Linked DNA regions of Lonchura striata. The protein of the gene in region 3 interacts with the protein of the main gene of each other region in a pairwise test. Links are inferred from orthologs where the notes say so. Each region holds a gene or a part of one and is shown on either strand. Other genes may lie near its edges.

Region 1 (8,085 bases), about 42 Mb from region 3:
AAAAGGTGGAACACAAGTGGAGGGCAGCATAAACAGCTCCTTCCACAAGCAGCACACCTGCACCTCTGACCAAACAGGCACAGCACTGGAAAAGTCTCCTGGAAGTCACTTTTTTGTTACGTGCTGTTTATTTGTACAGCACGACTGTCAGAAAAGGCACAAGAGAAGGAACAACCCAGTATGTAAACTAAAATCAAGCCTAACCCAGCAATTCTATAGAATGAGAAGGGCCTGGAAAGAAAATGAGGGGAAAACAACTACACCACAGAACTGGAGAGGTCAGCGATGAGGTGCTACACAAAGGATTCCTCTGCTTCCCGAGCACGCCCAGCCAATGAAATGGGTAAAGGTGAAGTTTGAGATATGACATCGAGGAAGTAAAAGCTTCTTTTATGAGACTAAACTGGCAGGATTTATGCTCCCTTCCATGATCACTAGCTGTCCTGTTGAGCAGAGGGTGTGATGAAGTGGCTTGGTGGGCACCTGATGGCCAGCCAGTCAGGGTCTACCTGCCACACTCTGCAACTCTGCACCTTCATCCTCTCAAGGACATTCCAGATCTGTGGAAGCAAGTATGTGGAAACTAGGACTTAAAGACTTACAGACTCATGGTCTTTAGATATACAGATTACACAGTTTCTTCTCCAGCACTTCCCTATATATCTAGCTGGTCACAATATTCCTCTGGTCTGCAGCTGCTGCCTTAAAGTCACCACATTTCACCCCAGAGGTGACTGCATTTTAGCACAGGAATTGATTTTCTTTTGATTTGATCATTATTGATCATTGTGATAAGGTGCTCAAAGTTATTTTTGGGACAGAATAAGCATGGTATGTATCGGCACACATCAATAGCAGAGTGTCTTACTAACCAACTCATACAGCATAGCCTTTTCTGTTTGCTTTCTTTTCTGTGTCTTGGATGTCACAGTCCAGGCACTGGGAAACTGTATCAATTTCACAACAGTAAACACTAAACTGTGACATTACAGAATAACTCCTGCAAGAGGCAAAGGCCAATTACAAGAGACAATTATTTATACATAATTATCTTTCTAGTCAACTGTGATAGAAAACAGTATGAGAGTGCAAACTCATATACAAAACCTGATTTTTATCTCCTCCATTCTCAAAGTAAAAAGACACTATTTTCTCTCTAGCATATGTTTTTAGTGTAGCTTTTTATTTTACTTTCTACATCCAAAAAGAGACCACACATAAAATATTATTAATAATGTACCATCATAACTGGATTTACCTATTAAAATAAGGTTAAATAGACTGCCTCATACACCGAGGCATATCTAAACCTGAACGAAATGGCAACTGAGATTGGCAAAACAGTCACCTATTTCTGGCAAATACTCTTTTTATAGGCCCATTAGGATAGAAAGAAAAAAAAGCAAAATTTCAGTTTTGTTTCACCACCTCCATGCTCCAGCGCAGTCATGCACTAACTCTGCCTCCAAGTTGGGAGCGTGTTCAGTACCAAAACCCCACAAACCAAACCTGTTCTCTGTAAAATTACACCCTTGATAAGTTTGCTTAATGGATACAGACCTCCAATGCATTTCAGACACGTCTGGCAAGTCCCTGCCCCTCTAGCTTTAACAGGGACCATGTGTGATGTCCCAGACCCCCCTACCACAATACAGCAGTCATTATTTACTATTCCCACCAAGTGAGTTTATTTCCATATTTGAATTTCTTCACTTCAAACGTAATTTTACAGAGCACTCCTCAGACAGCAAGTCTTGACACTCGTGTGTGTGTGTCCCCCTTTTCACCAGTGTGACATTAAACCCAAGCAGTCACCTGCCTTGAACTTGGCATGCAGGACACACACAGCGTTTCATGGAGATATTCCCGTCCAATACTTGGGAACACAAAAGGAAAAACGATCTCGAATCAAATCCATCAGGACAAAAACATCTCATCGGCCGGAGAAGGGATAAATCCCCAAGCAAAATAAATCCCTAGGGCTGGGAAGTCCACCTGTGAAAATGCCTACCAGCGGCTGTATCTTTTCCCCCCTTTAATTAAAGAAAAAAACAAGAAGACTGAACACAGAGCTGTGCTTCTTGTCCGACATGAATTAAAATATTTCTCCCTTCACGATCCCTTTTAAAAGATCCTCTTTTCCAAAAGCAAACACACCCCGAGCGAACAAGTTACACGGCAGCGGCTCTCCCCTGCCCACGTACAATTAATTACCTGCGTGGATTTTTAATAAAGCGATCTCGATTCAGCTTTTCTTGAAATACACGGATGTACACAGCCGAGGAGAGGAAAAAAACCACCCCAAATACAATAAACCCACAAGAGTTGAATACCAAGAAGGTCTGTCGCTGCTCAAGTGTCATTATTTTTTGCTCTCTTCCCGTTTTTACCTTTTCTCCCCCCCGCCCAAGCAGGATTCACCACGAAACGCGATCCAACTTTATTTTGTGCAAGGTTCTCTGCTTGAAAAAAAATAACACGTCCACCTGAGGTGGTGGTGGTTTTGCAACAACACGTAACACATATGCAAAAATAATTAAAAAAAAAAAAAGAGGAAACGGGGGTGAAAGAAATAAAATTAAAAAAAAAAAAATAAATAGGCGTGCAATGGTTTCGGGGAGTTGAGGCAGAGGATTGCGGAGTTCAATAACAGAGCCGGGAGGGAGCGGCGGCCCGGGGGCGCCGGCGTTTCATAACGCCCCGCTCCCCCCGGGGCAAAAGTCGGGGCTGCCCCCGGCCAGCGAACAAAGCCCGGCCGCCCGCGCCTTACCTTCGTTGACCAGTTTAAAGCTTTGGGATTTCCTGCTCCTCTTCCTCTGGGCGAACTCCATGGTGTGGGCAGGAAGGAGCGGGGCGGACACAGGACCGAGCTCCGTCCCTCCGATCAGCAATACACGCGGGGGTTGGGAGAGACGGCGGCTCCGGCGGCGAATAAAGGGATCCGGGACAAGTTGGCTCCGGTCTCCCCCTCGCTCCCGCCCCGAACTTTGAGGAAAAGCGGGGTGCGGCGGGGGGAGCCCCGCGGGGGCGATGCCGCCGCCTTCCCCCCCGCCGGCTGCGCGGCCGCGGCCCGGCGGCGAAGGGCGGCCCGCAATGGCTTCGCCGCCGGCGCCGGGACCCCGGTGCCACCTGCTGGGGGAAGGAAGGCGGCGGTTCCGCCGGCCGGGAGCCGCCACCGCCACCCCGGGGCCGGCCCGCCGCCACTCGGCCCCGCCGCGGGTTGAGGGCGAGGGGCTGAGGGGCAGCGCCATTTTGTGTCCCCCGCCCGCCGCCCGCGCGCGGCTCCGGCGCTGCCCGCCCGGCGCTGCCCGCGGCTCCGCTCGGGGCCGAGCCGGGGCAGCTCCTCGCGCTCGGCGGGACCGGGACTGGAGCTGGCGTGCGGAAGTGGGTTAACCTGAGGAACTGATGGCAACACCTGTTTGTTGCCGTGTTTTACAGGGATCATCGCAGCGATGTGTCCGCTGGTGTCGTGGACCGAGGCCTGGAGAAGAGCGGCGAGCCGCCGGCTGGGATGAGCTCTGCCAAACCTGGATCCCTCAGCAGGAGGAAGAGAGGCTCGGCTCTCCAGAGCAGCGAGATTTAGGGCGTCTGGCAGCCCTCCCGACGGTCACCGTGAGGTCACTGCAGCCATACGGCTGGCCCAAACACAGCTGAAATTAGTGCTTTGATTTATTTACCACTTGATGCCTTCAGCCACACTTCCAGTTCGCTCACTGTGCGAAATTCACTGAGGGTGGAGTGATTTTTTTTTTTTTTTTTTTTTTTTTTTTTTACAGCCGAGAGTGCTTTTGCCTGTTGCCTGTAGAGAAAGAACTCAGGCGTTTACAGTTATGACTACTGATAACTGCAAACACAGCTCCGATCATCATATTGTGTTTTACATGTAGTCAGACTGTGTTGTGACAAGAAGACTATGTGATACTTGCATACGCCTACTTGAACAGATGCAAAATGCAGATCTTGCCTTGGTCTCTTCAGAGCACCCAGGAGAATCCCGTTAGCTCCAGTAATATTGACCGACCCTATCACTAGGTATAATGACATAAAATGAGCAGGAGGGAAGAAAATTGAATACTAGCAGTAGTGATTTGTATCCTAACTGTGTGCATGCACACAGTCAGACCTGAATTCTTCGGTGCAAGGTGCCATCCAGACACTACACAGAGGATATACCTAGTTCTGAAAAGAAAAATTGGGAAATAGCCTTAATGGTGAAGCAATATCAGAAAATATGCCTAATGGTAAAATTTATTATATGCTGGAAAATTAAATTCACTAGGGAGGTTATGGAAACCTCACAGATTGGGTAGGGGTGTAATTTTCTATTAAATTGCTAAGTGGAAAATCCCAGAGGCAATCAATATGCTACTTTTGGAATTTTCCTAAACTTCTCTGTAAGACTTTATGAAAGGAAACTGGGCTAGCGTACTATTTAAAATCCTGCATTACATATTTTTGGGAGGATGCTGAAGCAGCAAAGGTAGATGGATGTCATATACTGTTTGCTGGATTTTGTGGGTCCAATTAATCTCTGGTACAGTGCAATGAAGCTGGGTCTGAAATGCAGCAGCAGTGTGCTTAAAATTTTCATACAAAAACAGTATTTTCACTTTTTTTTTCTCCCCTCCCCAGACGGTCTGCTGATTCCTGTCTGCTAACTAACTTTATTTACAGGACTTATATGCTGAAACTGTTACGTTTGACGTTTGACTCTCATCCTTCCTGGGACAATAGAAGAATTTTTATAAAGCATAAGGCCCTCATTTACAGTTTAGCTCACATGATGAGCTTTATCCTGCATTTGCCAAAGGAATGTGCTACAAACATCTTTTCTGTTTTACTCTGTTACTCAATTTTGTGAAACATTTTGGGGTATAATTTATGAAAATGTGATGGCAGTGTTTTATAAGCTGCTCTCTTACTGGTTTTAGTTCTTCCTTCCCTGTGCTGATAATTTGCTTAAAGGGACACTCATGGTTTTAAATGACATTTCAGTCTGGGCAATGCAGTTTCTAGTAATGTTTTCCAAGAGTTGGCACATCCTCTTTTCCACTGATATTTCTCATTTTCCTTTATGTGAGTTAGATCTATCCTTTTCATGCAGAATAAAGCTGATCCTGCAAGCTGGCCTAATTGTGGTCGCTCAGATGAATAAATCTTGCAGCTTTCATTTCTGAAAGTATGAGCCAGTGTGGATACTGCAGCTCCAGTCTTGCCATCTCATCTGCATAAAAGTGAATTAGAAACTAGGACAAGGTGACTTTAGGTCAAAGTCTTGTAGTTATCCATACAACACGTAGGAGGATCCGGTAGCTGGAAGTAGCTTTGTCCTACACTGCTGGTGCTTCTCAGCAGGGACTTAGAAAAAATGACACAAACTCAAAGGCTCCCATGTACAGGGAGCTGTGAGTCTGTCACTGGGCATTTTGGGGTGGGCATCCTAAAATTGGACTGGGATCATCTGCTCGTTTGTCACAGGCCACCATTGCATTATTCCAGCTGGAGAAATGTAGAGATGAAAGTCCTCTTTATCCCATTAGAATGGCTGCCTTGTGTCACCCTAGATAGTCACTGGCTGCATTGCTGTGGCAGCCAAGTGACTTAGGATAAAGTGCACACTGGCTCTGGGGAGCAGACAGCTTTTAATTTCATCTTTTATTTCAGTTTCTGTCTCAATATCATGCTATTATTACATATTAAGAACCCATAGGTCTTTTTGGTGAAAATATGAAAAAACTGAGCATTTTGTATCTATTAATGAATAGATACAAAGTTTTCAAAGTGTTTCCTCAAACCATTAACCGAGTAATGTGTTTTTCAAAATGCCTTAAATTGGCCAGCTAAATAAGGGCTTTGTCTTGCAACATGTCCCAAGTCAGTATGATCATCCCTGATTATTTCTTAGTTAACATTTTATTATGCTTCAAGTTACTTTCAAAATATCCCCTCCCCATTCTAACTGATGGTAATTTTTCCAACAATTTTCTGGTGTGTAGAAATACTTTTTCATTTCAGACACGAGCTAACTGATTAAATATAATTAATCTAGTAATATTTCGGTGTTAACAGCAGCAGTCCTCTTCACACAGGATGTCCCAGACTTTTTGTTTCCAGGTGTGCCCAGTTCATGATAATATTTTATTATTCAGAAGTAGGATGGTATAGGACAAAGATGACTAAAGAGTCCTAGAGCTGAGGAGAATTAAATAAGTGCACTAAGCTGAACCACTTCAGATTTTCAGTTGGAAAAATTATAGTGGAGAAAGTCTCATAAACTCAGTGATTCGATCTGAGGCTTAAAGTCTAATGTCAAGGAATTCATGTGAGGCCATGTGAAGTGGGAAGAGGCTGCTGACTGTCATATTAATAGCACCATGATTACCACTCATCTTGGAGCCTGACGAGATTCCGTGTGGTATTAGAAGCAGGAGAAGGGTGAAGAGGTAAATTGGAGACCAGGAGCTGTGCAGGTGACAGGTTAATAGGTGAGCTATTTTGGTTAGTTATGTGTAATGAATGGCACTGAGGATTTTATAAACTGTAGTAGTGTTTCCAGTGGTGGTTTTGAGGTCATATGACATACGTAGGCAGTACTTAGCCCCCAAGCTGACAATAGGCCACATTGTGCTCTGCTGTCTCACTACAAACCTTCCCTTTCAGCAGGCTCTCAGGCTGGCATATCCAAGGACTGGGTCATTAGAGAGAAAGATGTCTGGATGTCCTGAAGAATTCTGAAGTCAGGAGTGCAGTTTAACTTCTTTTCTAATCCTCCTTAATTTTTTCGTGACCATTTGAGTCACAGTACTTGACATTTCATGTCTCTGTCCTTACTCTCTTTTTCTTTTGGAACACAGTTGTGAAATGCCTTCTTGTCCATCCTGCTGCTTGTTAATCTTTCTCATATAAATTTTAAAGAAAAAAATTACAGGACAGACCAATGTTTTCATCTGTTTGCTAGCTCAAGGAGACCAAAACATTCCAGAACTGTTTCAACAATAAGGAATATAACTGAATCTATGTACAAAGAGTTCTTTGTGTGTGCAGTCATAAACCTTCTGAATATTTCCATATCAGAATGCAAACCTTCTAATCATTTCCATATCAGAATGCAAACCCCCTTTTGACTATAAGGTTGACTATAAGGTTTTCCCCTGCTCTGTGAATTTATGTACAGCTTGGAGTAAGATTGCAAGAGGAAGGCCACTGCATTCTAAGAGTCAGTGCTTGATGGTCATCCACTCTGATCCAATACTTGTGGCATAATGGATATTAAGTCATCCCTAAGACAAACTAGTGTTTGGATTTGAATTCGGGGAATGGAGAGGAGACCAAAGTGTCTAAGTAACAGCTGTAGTTGAAGGATGATGAAGAAAAGGTCTCAACAATGCTCTTTTTTATGAAAGAGGATACGGAAGAATAAAAGAAATCTGTCCATATTCATGGATATCTTCTGCTTCTCTGCAACATGGAGAAACCATGGGCTGAACTAACTTTGGCCTTACAACCCAAGTGCTTCAAGGGAGCTGAGGACGATGTAGGGCTTGTTATTTTGCCTAGAAATTTGAACTTTTCTGCTATAAAGAGTACTAATGCTTAGAAATTTTAGTCTGGATGTGTCTTTGCATTACTACCACCTCTGCCTAAGAGAAATATAAACCAGGCTGGTGTCCTCAGAAAGGGCATGTTTGAGCTTTGGGTCATCCCAGAGTCAATGTCAACGATGCCAGCCCAAGCACAGCAGTCAGCAGTCCCAGTTCTGATGGATGCTGCAGGCACAAATTGCAGCAAGCTCAGTTCAGGGTCCAGCAGCCCAGTGAGTCCCCTGCTAGGGAGAGTTCCAAGAGGTTTATGCTGCTAATCATTCCTCCATTTTTGTGTCAGTTTGCTTCAGCCACAGCAGCTGAAGGCAGATGTAAGAGTGCAGTGATGCAATCGCTGGAGCTACAGATGGAAAACTAATGCAGCATCAGCTGCAGGAACAAAAGCATTTAACACCATCAGACAGCTCCTTGAGGCTGCGGGGTGAAGCCCTGGCAGCAGCCATGCTCCTCTAAGTCCTGACTGAGCCTGATGTGGGGATATTGT
Region 2 (7,185 bases), on a different chromosome or scaffold from region 3:
GAGCTGAAGTTAAGGCAGCTCTGCAGCCTGATTACTGGTGAGTTGACTTAATTATTAAAAAATACTTGTTAATTTGCTTAGCTAATAGCCATTTGTTTTTTACAGCACAGGAAATAGCACAGCAGCTCAGAAGCCAAGGCACAGTGGGGCAAAGGCAAGAGCCACAGGGCTGCTGCCAGCCCTGCAGGGTGGGGAGAGAAGGACAGCAGAGCTCAGGGCAGGGACCTCAGGAAACACCTTCAAATTCCCAAGTAAAGCTTTTGCTCTTTTTCACCCTGTGTTACCCAGCTACACTTGACCTAATTTTCCAGCCTGAGCGGTGCAGAAAAGTGTGTGATGTGCCATGAAAGCTTGCATATGTGTTGTTATATTTAAAGATATCTTCACTTTTTCATTTCCCTGCTAGACTTGCTGCGCTGCAGGGCAGCCTCAGCTCTGGCACACTTGGTGGAAACTGGTGAGCAGAGGAAGGAATGAGAGAGGGAAAGATGTTCCAACTAAACAGACTGAGGGGAAATCAGGGGAGAGATAGACAGTACTTCAGTATGCTGGTGTTCATTTCTACTTTTTTTCCCTTGTCTTTGAAATAATTAAGAGAAAAAGCTGTGCTCCCTACCCGTTCCTTGTGGGATGCAGTGACAAGAGCAGGACTCCAGGTGGATTTTGCTCCTGAGACAGAGCCATGATGCTCTGTAACCCCTAACCAGTGATGTCCTGAGATGTTGACCAAAAACCCCAAATTCACAAGAGTGTGTCAAATTTACCTGGTGCTTGCAAAGTGCTTTTGGGGGGATGAAATCTGCTCACAGAACCTTTGCAAAGCACCACTAATTGACCCCTTGTTATTTGTCAGTTGATTGATCCTCTCATTAACCTAGTCTTTTTAAAAGCCTTCAGCATTCCCAGACACTCTTGATTCTAATCTCAACCTTTCCACTCCATCAGTTACTACTGGCTTCTTCCTCCTCTGGAGAGCTGGGTGAAGGTCCCTGTTGTGCAGGCACTGCTGTCCACCTGTTCTCCAGCATCTTCTTCATCACTGTGCCATCACCTCACTGTGCCATCAGCCCCTCCAAGGGGATGCATCACTCTAAACCAGTCATGGTCCGTCAGAGTGCAGAGGTTCCTGGTGGGCTGTGCTCAGCCAAAGCAGGGATCTGGGGATCTGGGCTGTTGTGGGATGCTCATTCTCTGGATCCCTGAATGGAGCATCCTTTTGCTCTTCTGCCCATTAGCCTCATGGAGATGCTCACGTGAACAGAAATGGATGTGTACGTTGTGCAATAACATCTGAATATTTTGTCTTTCTTACTGCAATAATGTCCAGGGTCTCTGGGCCTGGGGGCCCTGTGGTACAAACTGTTACCCAAAAATAGTCCCTTTCCTAAGGAGTTAATAATTAAGTATTAATATTCTACAAATAAGAACTACATAGTGTTTAATTGAAAGCTGAAGCTGCTTAGAATTATTTCAATGCAATGCTAAGGTGTAACATTAGCTAGTGTCATACAGCTGGGACTGGGGGGTTGCAGCCCAGAAATCAGATGGACATGTATGCGAAGGCTCCCTCACTCCTGCTGGGCTATTCCTTTCTCCACTTGTATCCAGAAGCCCCGCAGGAGCCAGAGGTTTTTATTCTTTTCCCTGAGCTCAGCTGTGTGCATTTATGTGCCATTTGCCTCTTTTTTTTTTTTTTTTTTTTTATCTGCTTCTCACATACTCCGGGGCTTGACTTTGCTTGACTCCGACTTGTTCTTCAGCTGCCCAAACCCCTCGAGGGGGACAAGAGCCATTAATTCCCAGCAGAGCAGTTCTGCTAGGCTGTGTTAAGGCATAGATCATCAGATTTGCTGTGGCTCCCCCGTGCCTGTGTCTGTAACTCCCTCACACTGTCTTGGGCAGTAGGAGCTGTAGCTGCCTGCAGCCTCCCCACAGACTGGGCTGCTCTGGGAGGGAGGATCATACAGAAAACAGCTCAGCAACCCTCCCATGCTCCAGCACAGGAAAGCCTGGGCGTGAAAGTAAACTTGTTCTTTGCTGCTGTTAAATCAGGAATGTTGAATAGAGTGTTTGGGGCTGTCAAAGCAAAGCTCCTGGTGCGGGTTCATGAGGTCCCAGCCTGTTGCTTTCTGCTTGTGCTGGAAGGTGCTACATGAACGAGAGGCCTTCCCTGTGCCACCACATCAGCAGGCAGACTGTCCCCACCCTGTATGTCTAAGCTTAACTGCCAGCACTGGTAAGGTCTGTTGTACTACTCCTATAATGGGGAATAACCATTTGGAGAAAAAGGAGTGATTGCATCGCTCTTGTGCTTGTCCCATCAGCCCTGCTGCAGTTTGCAAGTAGATGTTAAATACTAAAAGCTTCTCTGGATGACCGTGCCTGTCCAGGACCACCTGCTCAAGGCCATGGCTAACTATGCACTGACTCCACCAAAACAGCTTCATTTTATCTCAGCAGAGAGGGGACCCCCGGCCTTTGGGCACAGGAGACTGCAGCAAACAACAAAAAAAACCCCAATTTGCGTGCGTCTAAAATGAAAAGTGTGCTTGAACTGGCCTGCTGCCAGGTGGGTCACACCGGTGTGACCAGGTAACCTGAACACGCCAGCAGCTGCCAGGGGTCTGGGGACACTGCGGGGACACAGGGATACACAGTGCCCTCCCGACAGCCAGAGCTTTCCAGCCCCTGTGGAAGCGTGGTTTGCCAGCAGCAGAACTTGTTGACATGTTTTGATGTAAGTATAACACTGTATTGTAGTTACGTGGTATATGCCAGTATGTTCATAGTGTATACCGACTAGTTAGGGTTTGCTAATGTACTACATTTCAATAAAAAGCAGTTTAAAAATACGGAGTTTGTGAGTTTGGTGTCTGAAAATATAGGAGAATAAAAGCATCATCCAGTGACTCCAGTCTCTCCAGCATTTCTTATAGATCTGTCTTAGAGGATAGTGTGGAACAACATCATCAATAGATCCATTTTCAGAGAGGATTTTTCCCACTCTGATGTAAATTTTTCTTTTGGCTTATGAATATGCCGGAGACACTAATCCACCTTCTCACAGCTTTTGACACCTTAAAGATGGCACAGAGTGAGCAAGAACATCAGTAGTTAGGCAGGGAAGGATCCTTCAGCATCTTCTCCCAGTGCTCAAAACCCTTCCCACCGGACACCCAGCCTTCAGAAACGGTCCTGCTGCTCCCCAGAAACAGCCATGCCATTGAGGTGAAGGCACAGCCCTGCAGGCTGAGCCAGCTAATATATATTTATATTAGAGTAGTGTACAAGGGCTCCAGCTGGAATTAGGGCACTGCACTAACAAAGATGGATCATCCAGGGTTAAAGGATTTAAAGCCTAAAAAAACCATGGCATTCCTGCCTTCCTGGGAGCTGGGCAGTAAGCACAGAGATGGTAGATGTCAGTGTTTTCTGCTGTTGTAACACTTCCAAAGTTTGCCTGGAGGCTCTCTAAGGGTTATTGAAATAAGAATAGTGGTTCACTAAATTATTGGCATAATAATTTAGTTATTATCAAGGGATGAGAGGGAATTGCATCTCCCACTGTCCTGTGTGCTGCAAAGATCATCCTTGAACTGGACCACAAGCTTTGAGTGGGCTCCAGCGCTGCAAAGCAAGGACTGAAATGAACCAGCTGACAGGAGGGGGATGCCAGGACCCCCACACTGAATTCATGAGGCTGGGATGCTGGGAAAGCATGTTCTTCACAGCAAAAGGGGCAAAATAATTCCCATATTCCCAGAGGGGAGATGGAAGCATCGCCAGACTGACCAGGAGTGCTGGACATGTCTCTGATGTTCTAGTGCTCGACCACCCCCTGCGGTGGATGTTTTTCTAATATCCAACCTAAACACCCTCCTCCCCCTTCCCGACACAACCTCAGGCCGTTCAAGTCAGGTCTTTTCAATGCCACAGTGTGCGGCCGGGAGGCGGAGGAGCTCTGCAGAGCGCGGCGGTGACCCCGGCCGCCCACCGCCGTCCGGACGCGGGGCTCGAACCCGCGACCCCGCGCTGCGTTGGCAGTGAGGGGGCCGCGCCGCCAGGGGGCGCGGCGGCGGCGGGCGCGGCGCGGGCCCCGTGACCCGGCCCGGCCGCTCCCCCGCGCCGCGCCCGCCCCGGCCGGGCCGGCCCCGCTCCGCTCCGCTCCGCTCCGCAGCCCCGCCGCCATGTGGCTGGGCCCCGAGGAGGTGCTGCTGGCCGGCGCGCTGTGGGTCACCGAGCGCGCCAACCCCTTCTTCCTGCTCCAGCGCCGGCGGGGACACGGCAAAGGGGGCGGCCTGACGGGTGAGGCGCGGCGGGGCCGCGGGGAGGCTCCGGCCCGGCGCGGGGCTGGGAGGGCCGGGCGGGGGAGAGGCGCGGCCCGCCGGCTCCTCGCTGTGTGCACCCCGGAGCCCCCGGCCGGGCTGTCGGCGTCAGGCCCGGGGAGGACACAGCTGGTGGGGTGGCTGGAACCGTCCTCTTCTCTTGTCAAAAATGGCTTCTCAGCCCTGCTCGCGTTGCTTTGAATTATTAAGGTGGTTTATTTGCATATTTTGTACGTCTGTGTGCCTCTGCAAGATGCAGAGGATGACAGTAAGCCGTGGTTTATAATTAGTAGCGGTATGGAAGTTGTGCTGTGCATGGGCCGGGGGTGAAGCTGTGTGGGTGCAGCCCAGTGGAAAATACCGCTGAGTGTGGGGGACAGCCGTGTTTGTGGCATAAACTGCTAAAATAACATGACTTTCACCCAAGCACAGTGTTAACTACAGCAAATCCCCTCACTTTTAAAAACCCCATTTATGTGCAGAATGCTTTCAATTATGTGAACTACAAAGATGTGAATTTTACTCTTGTCGATTACACGTAGCAACTGTCACGTATTAACCCTTTTACACAAACTAATTACAGGAGTGGTGCAGCTGATAAACATCATTAGCATATTTCATCTTTTCACAGTGTACAAAATTAATTTGAACTGTTCTGATTGATGTCACCCAATTTGTGCAGTTTTGCATATAGGCCTATACTTGTGTTCTACAATTTCCTAGTTTTTTCCAAAAAGAAACGACGCCTGGTGCTATTCTAGTAACATTTAAACTGGTGTGTTCCCGATGGGTTGAAGCTTTGAGTTGTGTTTACTTTTTGAGGTAGTGTGGCTCAGTGAGAGTCATCTTCAGAGCTTCTTCAGGTTAAAAGCCTCATGTCCTTAAGGAGCTGTGCAGCTGCACAGTGACATCTCAAGAGTTAGAGTGGGATGTTCAGCTCAGCTGGAAAGCTTTTGAGTTGCTGTCAGGCTCAAGTTATTAAATATCTCGTTACCAGTCTGCTTGTCAATATTTGACACATTCAGTATTGTCATAGGATGGATTCAGAATTAACTTTTAATCCATATCCTGCCTAAAACTCACAAGAAACCCAGAGGCCAAACAGATCCTGCTGTGCTGGTTATGTACATGTTTCGCTTACATTTGTCACATGGGCTTGCTGTGGGTGATGTTTCACTGCAAGGACAATCAGTGGTATATTCTTAATTTGTTAATTGCTACATAGGTAGGCAGGAGAGATAAGGGAGAGGAAGTGGCATGTTTCTTCTTGATAAGGAGTGAGATATGGATGAGTACCCAAACCATGAGAGCTGGGAATTGAAACTGGACCCCCTACAATGTCAGAGCCCAAGGGGCAGCCATGCTCCCTCTCCAAGTTCTAATACAAGAAAACTTTTAATCATGAGTGCGTTGCAAAGTTAATTTGCATTAAAGATGCTCATAATGCATTGTCTATAATAACAAAGCAAATCATCATCTTCTATATCTGTTTTATCTAATTGAAATAAAGACTTTGAAGTAAATTTATTTGCCTTGCAAAGTCTGGTTCATCAACATTTACTCTGGAAGTGTCTCTTATTTGACATCATATAAAAATATTTTGACTTCTGTATTACCAAGTTTTGAGTCGCTGACATATTTTTTTTAATCAAAGTACTTCTGGGAACATCCTTGAAACCTGTGAGCACCCGTTTTTCTAGATCTACCTGATTCCATTTGGACAAGTTACCTACTTTTGGCATTGGTGATTCTGAAAAATACAGCGTTGATGACTCTTGTGTCTTTTAGCATGGTAGGCTTAAAAATCACTATTAGAAGCAAAAACCCCACAGAGGAAAACACATTTCACTTTCATTAGGAAATACTTCTATGAAGGCGTGGGATTGTAATGAAGCTTAGTAGGCAATTAATTTCCATCTAAACTTCGTCCATTGCCAGTGGGACAGGCTGCAGTTGGTTTTTAGGGAATTTACCTCCAGTGACTGGATGTGTATCTCTTTTTTCTGAACCAAATGCCACAGCTCTTCATCACAACTGTTCACAGGCTGTGAACATCAGCGTTTTCTGCAGTGTTCATCCTGTGTTTTTGCTTAACCCAGTTCTTTGTTTTGGTATTACACTGCTGTAATTTCTGACTCTTCGTTTCCTAGGTCTCCTTGTGGGAACTCTAGACGTGGTTTTGGATTCCAGTGCCAGAGTTGCCCCATACCGGATTTTGCACCAGACTCAGGACTCTCAAGTGTACTGGGCAGTGGCCTGTGGTATGTGACTCTTGTTGGGGATTGGATGTGAGTTATTCTCTTGTCTTTTTGGTTCAGATGACCAGTTAGCCCACATAAGAGTATCCTTTGGCTGCTCAGGACACTTCTTAAGAGCTTCCTATGGTGTAGTGGAAGATTGCAGAAATGACAAAACTCAGTGGAGTTTAAACCGTAATTAAGAAACTTAAAGGAATAAAAAACCTTGTTCTAATATTTTCTCTTTGCTCTTGTCATCATCTTTCTCCCTTCAATTAGGATCATCTCGTAAAGAGATCACAAAGCACTGGGAATGGCTGGAGAATAACTTACTGCAGACTCTGTCCATCTTTGACAATGAAGAAGATATCACCACCTTTGTCAAGGGCAAGATTCATGTAAGTGACATGTTTCCCTGAAGGACTTCCAGATTCTGAGAAAGAACAGGGAGATAGATGGTTGTAAGAATTTTTTATCCTTTTCAGTCATATGTAGGTATGAAAGTATTGTAGAATGCATCCAGCATTGTCAACATCAAGTCACAGTCAGAGCAAATACTGAACAAATGTATTTGAAGGAGAAGGGTTAAGAGCAGTGGATCCCAAGGAACAGCCTGCTGAGGA
Region 3 (7,524 bases):
GGGAGGATTTCAGGGAGAGAACAAAATTAGGGTGTCATCTGTATCTCTTGCCATTCAGTTGTGTCCAAGTTAGGTTGTTTCACTCCTATTTATTAGACTCTTGGACTACCAAAAAGAATTCACACCCAAAGTTCTAGCAATCTAGTCAGATGTTGATTGTCCAGTTACAACGATGCTAATGGTTGTACTCAAATAATGTGTAGTTCAGTGATGTAAACTTTCTAATGTTTGACCTTCCAATATCCCAGCTCCCTCAGCCTCTCTCCATCTGACGGAGGCTCTAATCTCATCACTGTGCTGCCCATTTGCTGGATTCACTATACCCATGTCTCTCTTGTACTGGGTAGCCCAAACTATTTGGCACAAAACCGAAGATGATTTTGGTAGCAGTCACCTGGTCATTAGACAACTGTTGTAACAGCAAAACGAGCTATGGCAGCTCCTGGCAGGCCAAGACAAGCCCAGGCAAAGCCTGACAAAGTCTCACATAAAGCAGAGCTGGTGGCCTCTTACCAGTAGTGGCAGCACCATGACAAGGCTGAGGTGGATGATGTGACAGTGACAGCCATTCCAGCTTTTGTTTCATTTTTCCAGTATATGATACACAATTTCCCTGCAAGAAACTCCACCTCCTGTTTCCAAGATGGTCTTTTTGCTGCTTCCAGTTTCAGCCAAACTCAATGACTCCAGCCTATCCTCTCTGGACAATCTGGAACAGATCCTGTAGTGAAAGACAGCACCAATCAGAAGAGTCTGCTCCTAATGACCAATTCTGCCTAAGTATGTGATGAGGCTTACTACCCTAAAAATGAGCTTTTATTTGAAGACAGCCAGAGGGTGCTCTGTCTGGGGAATATTTATTTTTACTGCCTTCCTACAATACTGGGGTATCTGCCAGTTTGCCCAAGGAGCCATTTTTTCCCTCAGCTTGTCAAAGCAGATTTTGTGCCATAGATCCCAGCCTGAGACACAGCATAACCTGGCCCCTGAAAGTGTAAAAGCACAACACGTTCCATCCTCAGGTGTTGCAGCAGCATCTGTGTTTGCATCATGGCTGGAGAGCTACTCAGCTGCTGTCAGCCTTGCAGGTGAAGTTGGCACAGCTCAGACTGTGGTTTTTTCCCCAGGTGTGCTGGCTGGTGGCAGGCTCTAGTGTATCTTGGGAGCACAGAGTTATATGGGAGGCAACCACAAACACATGTTTTTTCTTCTCCTCATGTCCCTGCAGTCCCCAGGGCAATAGCAGGAACTGAAAGGTCATTACCAGAAGAAAGCTCTTTGCCAATCCTGATCCTCTGGCTGAAAGTGCAGAGCTTCTGCTGCCCTGAAAAGCAAAAAGTCTTTCATTTTATTTTCCTCTTCACTTCTGCTTTTCATTGTCTGTACTGTCCCACACCAGTGTGGCACTGAAATGAGCTCCCAGTACAATGTCGCCCCATGTCTTCCTTAAAAAGCTTGTAGAGGGATCAAGAGGCAGCACAGCTCAGCTCTCAAAAGCCAGATTTCTTGGGGGTCTGGGATGGGATAAGCGCTTCAAACCAAGATAGATCTCCTAGGCAGTTAACTCTTCCCTCTCCTTGTCAGGATAGCCTTGGAACTGGCTGTAGTTGCTTTCTGGGATTTTGTTTTGGTTTTTTGTTTCCTTATTTTTTTGTTTGAGTTTTTTTAATTTGGACAAAAATTATTTACTGTTTCATTAGTATTTGTATGTAGAGTTGTGTTGACATATATTGACAGATTTAATGTGATAGTAAAATAGCAAGGAAGGACAGGCTAGTTTAGTATTTGTGCCCTTAACTGGGTTGCCTGTTGGGTCTGGGGTTGGATTATTTGGTCACTATACAAATTACTATGTCAATCCTATAGTGTAACCTTGTGACAAGTGGCTGCAAATGCAGAAGAACATTACTGTAGCATTTTGATCTGACGAGGGTTTTCTGCAAGCTCCTCGGCCCACAAGAGAGATCTAGAAAACAGCAACTGCTCAAATCTCCCACCCGCAAGTAGGCTGTTGTCATACATAGTGCAGGACATGCCTCTCCATTTCAGTTACCATGGTAAAATTAGTCTGCCAAAGGTTAAGCAGAATACGTTTCCTTATATTATTCCTTCTGTTTGCTTTTTGGTTTTCCCAGCTCACTACCCTATTTTCCTTTTTCAAAGACAGTACTATGAATGTATGGCCAAAGCTTACGTGTCTATGAATACTTTTTCTTCAAAATGGTTCCCTTCCCAGTGCTCATGACAAAAATTAAACCCTTCAAAGTATTTTGGTTTTTCACAGTGTCAGCTAGGAGGAGCCTACACACAAGAATTTGGAAGGCCTGTAGTGGAATGGCTGGCACTTAGTGTTGGAAGTGAAAAAAAGCCCCTGGAGCACAGGATTCTCATGAGCTCTTTGCAATAACAGAGGAGAAAACTGAAAAAGGAGGCTCTGGAGAAGTAGCAGATGAATTTATGAAGACTGGGGGTCTGAAACATGAGCTCTGCATCCCAGAGCATGGGTGAGAGGACAGTCGCAGTAGACAAGCACAAAGAGCCAGTGAGACAAGGCTCCTGAAAGAAGTTGTGGTAATGAGGGGCAGAGTATATGCTGAAGTACAAAAGCTGCACACCTTGGATCTGAGCGCCTGAGGAAGCAGCCTGGCTCCCTGTCCATTGCAGCCAGGGCTCCTTCTGTCATTGCACCTGACAGCAGCCCTTTGATACTGATCTTTCTAAAATTTTTATTGCAGATTATGTTAAAACACAGACCAAGCCCGGAACAGCAGTAGGGAAGGAGATGGGAAAAGTGAAGTGTAATCTAAGAGTTGGGTTTTAGTTACCTGATATTGCCAGTGCTGTTCTCTCTCTAAAGAAAGGAGTTAGTTTTGATTGTTGTTACATAACAGAGTTTTTATTATTGAAAAGAATATAAGTATTCCTCAATCAAATTGAACTTGATTCACATTAAAATGAATTTATTTAAATACTGTTATTTATTCAAAAGGATTGTTTAGAACTGCAATGAAAAATGAAGAGCTGTGGTGTGGGGTTTCCCTTTTAAAGCTTGTTCTGTGTGAACACAGGACTCATTTCTACTGAAGCCTTCAAGAAGCCTTGAGCCAGCCTGAGTGTGACCTAAGGGTGTGACCTGCTTGTTCCACTCTGGGAAGGGCGCAGGTGGTGCACACCAGTTATAGCTCACAACGTGTTCCATGAAAGATTATTGCAGTAGAAAGACTTAATGAGCCTTTAATTTTGTACTGTGTCTTTTCTGGAAACAGCTTTGCTGTCTGCAATGCCATGCAATGTCTAGCAGTATTTACAAGTGAATAACCGTCATTATGATTTATTTCATTATTAACTATACTATTTTACAGCAATTTTCTATTTTTAACATTGGTGGAGGACTGCTTGGAAAACCTGAATGTGGAGGATCCCTGGTGCTAAGGAAATTTGCTGATTGATTTGCAGAGTGGCTTTGCCAGCTCCCTGACATTTCCCTCTGTAAATTAGGCTGTGACCACTATCCCAGATTCTCAGCGTGTTTCATATGGATAGTGACATCTCTTTGTGTTTATATCTACAGGCTGTAGCCCCATGTTAGAGCTTTTGGATTGTCTGGAAGAGCCTTTGGAATGAACCTTTTCCATGCTGCTTTACTCCCACCTGCAGCTAAGACTGTGCAGTTGTGCTTCATACATTATTTGTTCAGCCACTCACTACAAAGTCCATACACACTAGGAATGCTCAATACAGCCCTTTTTTTTTTTTTTTTTTTTTTTTTTTTTTTTTTTTTTTCCTCCTACAACGTCAACACAGTGACAATGATAACAAAATAAGAGGGTGGAAAATGGAAACTGCCTCCAGGGGCTTACCTTTACATAAGTTTCTTGACAGGCTGATAGAGCTGGGGTTGTTCAGCCTGGAGAAGAAAAGGCTCTGGAGAGACCTCGCTGCAGCCTTAAAGTACCTAGAGGGGGGTAATAAAAAAGAGGAAGATGGACTTTTTATATGAGCAGATAATGACAGAACAAGGACTAGTGGCTTTAAACTGAAGGAGGGCAGATTGAGATTAGATACAGGAAGAAATTCTTTACTGTGAGGGTGGTGAGACACTGGCACAGGCTGCACAGAGAAACTATGGATGTCCCATCCCTGGGAGTGCTCAAGGCCAGGTTGGATTGGGCTCTGGGTAACCTGTTCTAGTGAAAAATGACCCTGCCCTCCGCAGGGGGGTCGAATTGGATGATCTCTAGGGTACGGTCCTATCCAAGCCATTCTGGGACTGAGTGGGCTAATACCGAACCACAAGCAAGAACGGAGCCGGGGAGACGGCAGCAGAGCCCAGCCCGTTCCTGGGTGGGACCGCCGCGAGGCGCCATAGCTGCGGGAAAAGAACTACAGCTCCCGTCATGACCCGCGGGCAGAGCGGCGGGAACAAACTCCCCGCTGATTTGCTGTGCTTTCCGCTGTTCTCGCCAATCGGACGCGCAGCTCAGGGGGGACGCTCTCCAGGCGCGTGAGGCGGGCTGGCGTGGCGGGGCCATGGAGCGGGACCGGAGGGAGGTGAGCGGGACGCGGCGGGGGCTCCTCTGGGGCCCCGGCTGGGTTGCTCCTGGGGACGGCGGCGGGTCCTTCTGATCCCGACGCGATGGGCCCCCGCGTCCCCCTCAGCTTGCCGAGGAGGCTCCGGGTGATGCTGCCTTTGCTTGGCAGCCCTGGGGACTTGTAACAATATCCGCAAGTTTCACTCGCCTGTTGTGGAAGAGTAACGATGCAATGGTGCTCACGTCCTACGAGCTGGTGTAAAATGCACCCACACAGGGACTAGAAGGCGATGAAAATATTTGTTTTTTTAGAGTTCAGGCCTTTCAAGACATCAGGAATGCTATCTGAGGGCCTGGATCCGTAGGACAGGAACTCTTTGTTCAGGGAATAACCTGGGAACCTTGGATCTGTGTTGTGTGAAAGCCAGGGAGGATGCGGGGAGACAGCAGTGAGTGAAGTCTGATTTTCCTGACCACGTGTCTATAATGACAGCTAGAGCCAGGGGTCAGAGGGAATTTAGCACTGGAAGGTGATAGGCTTTCTGCTGATCTTTTGTTGTTGCCCACTTGGAGGAACAATGGTATCCTCCTGCCTCATGTAGCTGTTTGAATCTGCCTTTCTGATCCATCACTTCCTGTGCTGATGCTGTTTTTGCTGCTCTTTCATGAGTTGCTAACATATTTTCCTAGTTTCTTTTATGCTTATTTGGAGCCTGGTTCAAGATTCTTCTAGTCTGAGACACACTGTTTTTCTGTGCTCTTTCTTCAGTCTTTGCCTTGCAGCTCTCCTGCTGTAACAGCAACTGCGAAGAGCCAGTGAAGATGTTTAGCTGTGGAGGCATCTGGGTTTAGACAAAAACCTATACAAACGTTCTGCTATCCTGCTGGTGTAGTTTCTGAACCGAGGTCAGCTGTGGACTCTGTAGTTTTCAGAGGACATAAACTGTCTCCAGGACTGAGTTGGTCCTGCTGACTTCCAGGCTGTGCTGGTCTTGTGAGCTGTGGTGGCAGGAACGTGCAGCCTGTGCTCCATTGTGGAAGTCTGTGCTGGCTTTATTGTGATGGTCTCTGTGCTGCTATGCTGTGCAACTATGTTGGGAGGAACATTGCCGGGAAGGACGCAGTCTCATCTGTCTTCATCAGCAAGGCAGTGCTTTGCCCTGTATTTTCTATGTTCCTCAAGATTCTTTTTATCTAGCAACAGCACTTTTCTCTTGGGAAGCAGAATGCAGCATGTTGAATACCAGTAAAGGGATCTGTTTGGGGGAAGGCAGTTCAGAGTCCCGCCTTTGGGGTTGTTATGTGGATTCCTTGCCTGCCTTGAGGCCACTCCCTGGCCCAAGAGGGCCTCCTCCAGCAGCAAAGGCAGGTTTATTGTGCAGTGGGGTGTAAAATGTTGATTTTAAAGTAAATTGGCTCTTTTTCTAGATGGTGTCTGCCTTTGGCCACAAAACTTCATCTTTGGAGCGGGTGGAGGAGGAAGGTGATGCTGATGAGGAGGATGATGAATTGGACATCTTTGGGGGTTATGACAGCCTCACGTGCTACAACAGCAGCATGGGCAGTGACAGCAGCTCCTGTCTGGAGGAATCTAGCGATGATGAGGTGGCAGACCGGGAAGCTGGAGAGCTTTCAACATCTCCGATGCACCAGCCATCCACAGGCCGGCTCACAGAAGACAATGGCTCCGAGCCAGGTACTGCCTGTGCTGCCTGAAGTATGTTCAGGGGCAGTGAAAGGTGTGTGGGGATGCTTTGGGAGCAACTTTGGATTCAGACTGCATTTATTGGGCTATGTGGGGGATCTGCACTGTATAATCATGGTTAGCTGGTCTCAGCTCTGTCACCGTGGTGCATTGACTCTGCAAAATCCTCACGTTTTTGGCCTTCCTTCTTGCAGCTGTGTGCGAAATGTGTGGGATTGTGGGCACCAGGGAGGCTTTCTTCTCCAAGACTAAACGTTTCTGCAGCGTCTCCTGCTCCAGAAGCTACTCCTCAAATTCCAAAAAGGCCAGCATCCTGGCCAGACTGCAGGTACGTTAAAACTGTTCCAGCTGGCTCTCTGGCTCCATCATGGTTGTAGGCTTATGTCATGCTGGGGAACTTCAACCACTCCTATACCTACAGAAAGTAGCATGGCAGGCTGTAGGTAATCCAGGAGACTCCTGAAACGTATGTGGGATAATTTCTTAAGCCAAGGAATAGACAGCTGTAGCAGAGAGAATGCAACAGTAGACCTGCTGGTCAAGACTAGAGGCAGTGGCTCTAGTTGCAGTGGTCATGCATTGGTGGAATTTCTAATCTTGAGGAATATAGGTCAGCTAAGGAGTAAAGTCATGCTCTTGAACTTTAGGAAGGCATACTTCCAGCTCTTCAGAGAGAATCTATAATTCTGTGAGATTTCCTGGGGATGGAGCAGGATCTGCCTTTATGTAGGGTTGCTCTTTAATTGAATATCAGACTGACAGTCCCAGTGGCTTATTCTTCCTTCCTGAAGTCTCCAGAGAAGGCATGACAGCTTAAAGGTGGTGTTCCCTAAGAGCTGAGAAAGGACACACATGTATTTTACCTGCTGTTTCTTGTTCCTGTGAGTGTTAATAAATACTGTAGTAGACTGAAAATTGTCCCAAGGAAGAGATGTATGCCCAGTTCCAGAGAGTGGCTTAGTCTCCTGTGCCATTAATGTTTCTAATCATTCTTCTTTTATAGGGGAAGCCACCAACGAAGAAAGCTAAAGTTCTGCACAAGGCATCCTGGTCAGCTAAGATCGGGGCCTTCCTCCATTCACAGGGCACAGGACAGCTGGCAGATGGGACACTGACAGGTCAGGATGGTGAGTGTAAATGAGGTGTGAGGAGGTGCAGCTTCTGAAGTCAAAGAATGGGGAGACTTTGAGGGATATAAACTTTGAAGTCCTCCTTCTCCTCTCTGGTACACTTCTTTGTGCGATGTGTGTGGATTGCTCTGACACAAGCTGGCAGAACACAGGGCAT

The links.
Region 1: the proteins of L3MBTL2 (region 3) and BEND7 interact in binary tests that used the Homo sapiens proteins (3 or more experiments, as listed by UniProt). The two-hybrid records come from large-scale screens. The link is inferred for Lonchura striata from reciprocal best matches to the Homo sapiens genes L3MBTL2 and BEND7.
Region 2: the proteins of L3MBTL2 (region 3) and TBC1D9B interact in binary tests that used the Homo sapiens proteins (3 or more experiments, as listed by UniProt). The two-hybrid records come from large-scale screens. The link is inferred for Lonchura striata from reciprocal best matches to the Homo sapiens genes L3MBTL2 and TBC1D9B.

Annotation. Positions count from the first base shown.
Region 1 is NC_134607.1:66,508,343-66,516,427, reverse strand, and holds the start of BEND7 (BEN domain-containing protein 7), read right to left. Parts: upstream 3,076-8,085; 5' UTR 2,832-3,075; coding exon 2,771-2,831; intron 1-2,770.
Region 2 is NC_134617.1:6,674,249-6,681,433, forward strand, and holds the start of TBC1D9B (TBC1 domain family member 9B), read left to right. Parts: upstream 1-4,134; 5' UTR 4,135-4,187; coding exon 4,188-4,305; intron 4,306-6,475; coding exon 6,476-6,586; intron 6,587-6,841; coding exon 6,842-6,960; intron 6,961-7,185. UniProt on the Homo sapiens protein: May act as a GTPase-activating protein for Rab family protein(s).
Region 3 is NC_134607.1:25,003,732-25,011,255, forward strand, and holds the start of L3MBTL2 (lethal(3)malignant brain tumor-like protein 2), read left to right. Parts: upstream 1-4,474; 5' UTR 4,475-4,530; coding exon 4,531-4,551; intron 4,552-5,960; coding exon 5,961-6,228; intron 6,229-6,431; coding exon 6,432-6,565; intron 6,566-7,240; coding exon 7,241-7,364; intron 7,365-7,524. UniProt on the Homo sapiens protein: Putative Polycomb group (PcG) protein. PcG proteins maintain the transcriptionally repressive state of genes, probably via a modification of chromatin, rendering it heritably changed in its expressibility.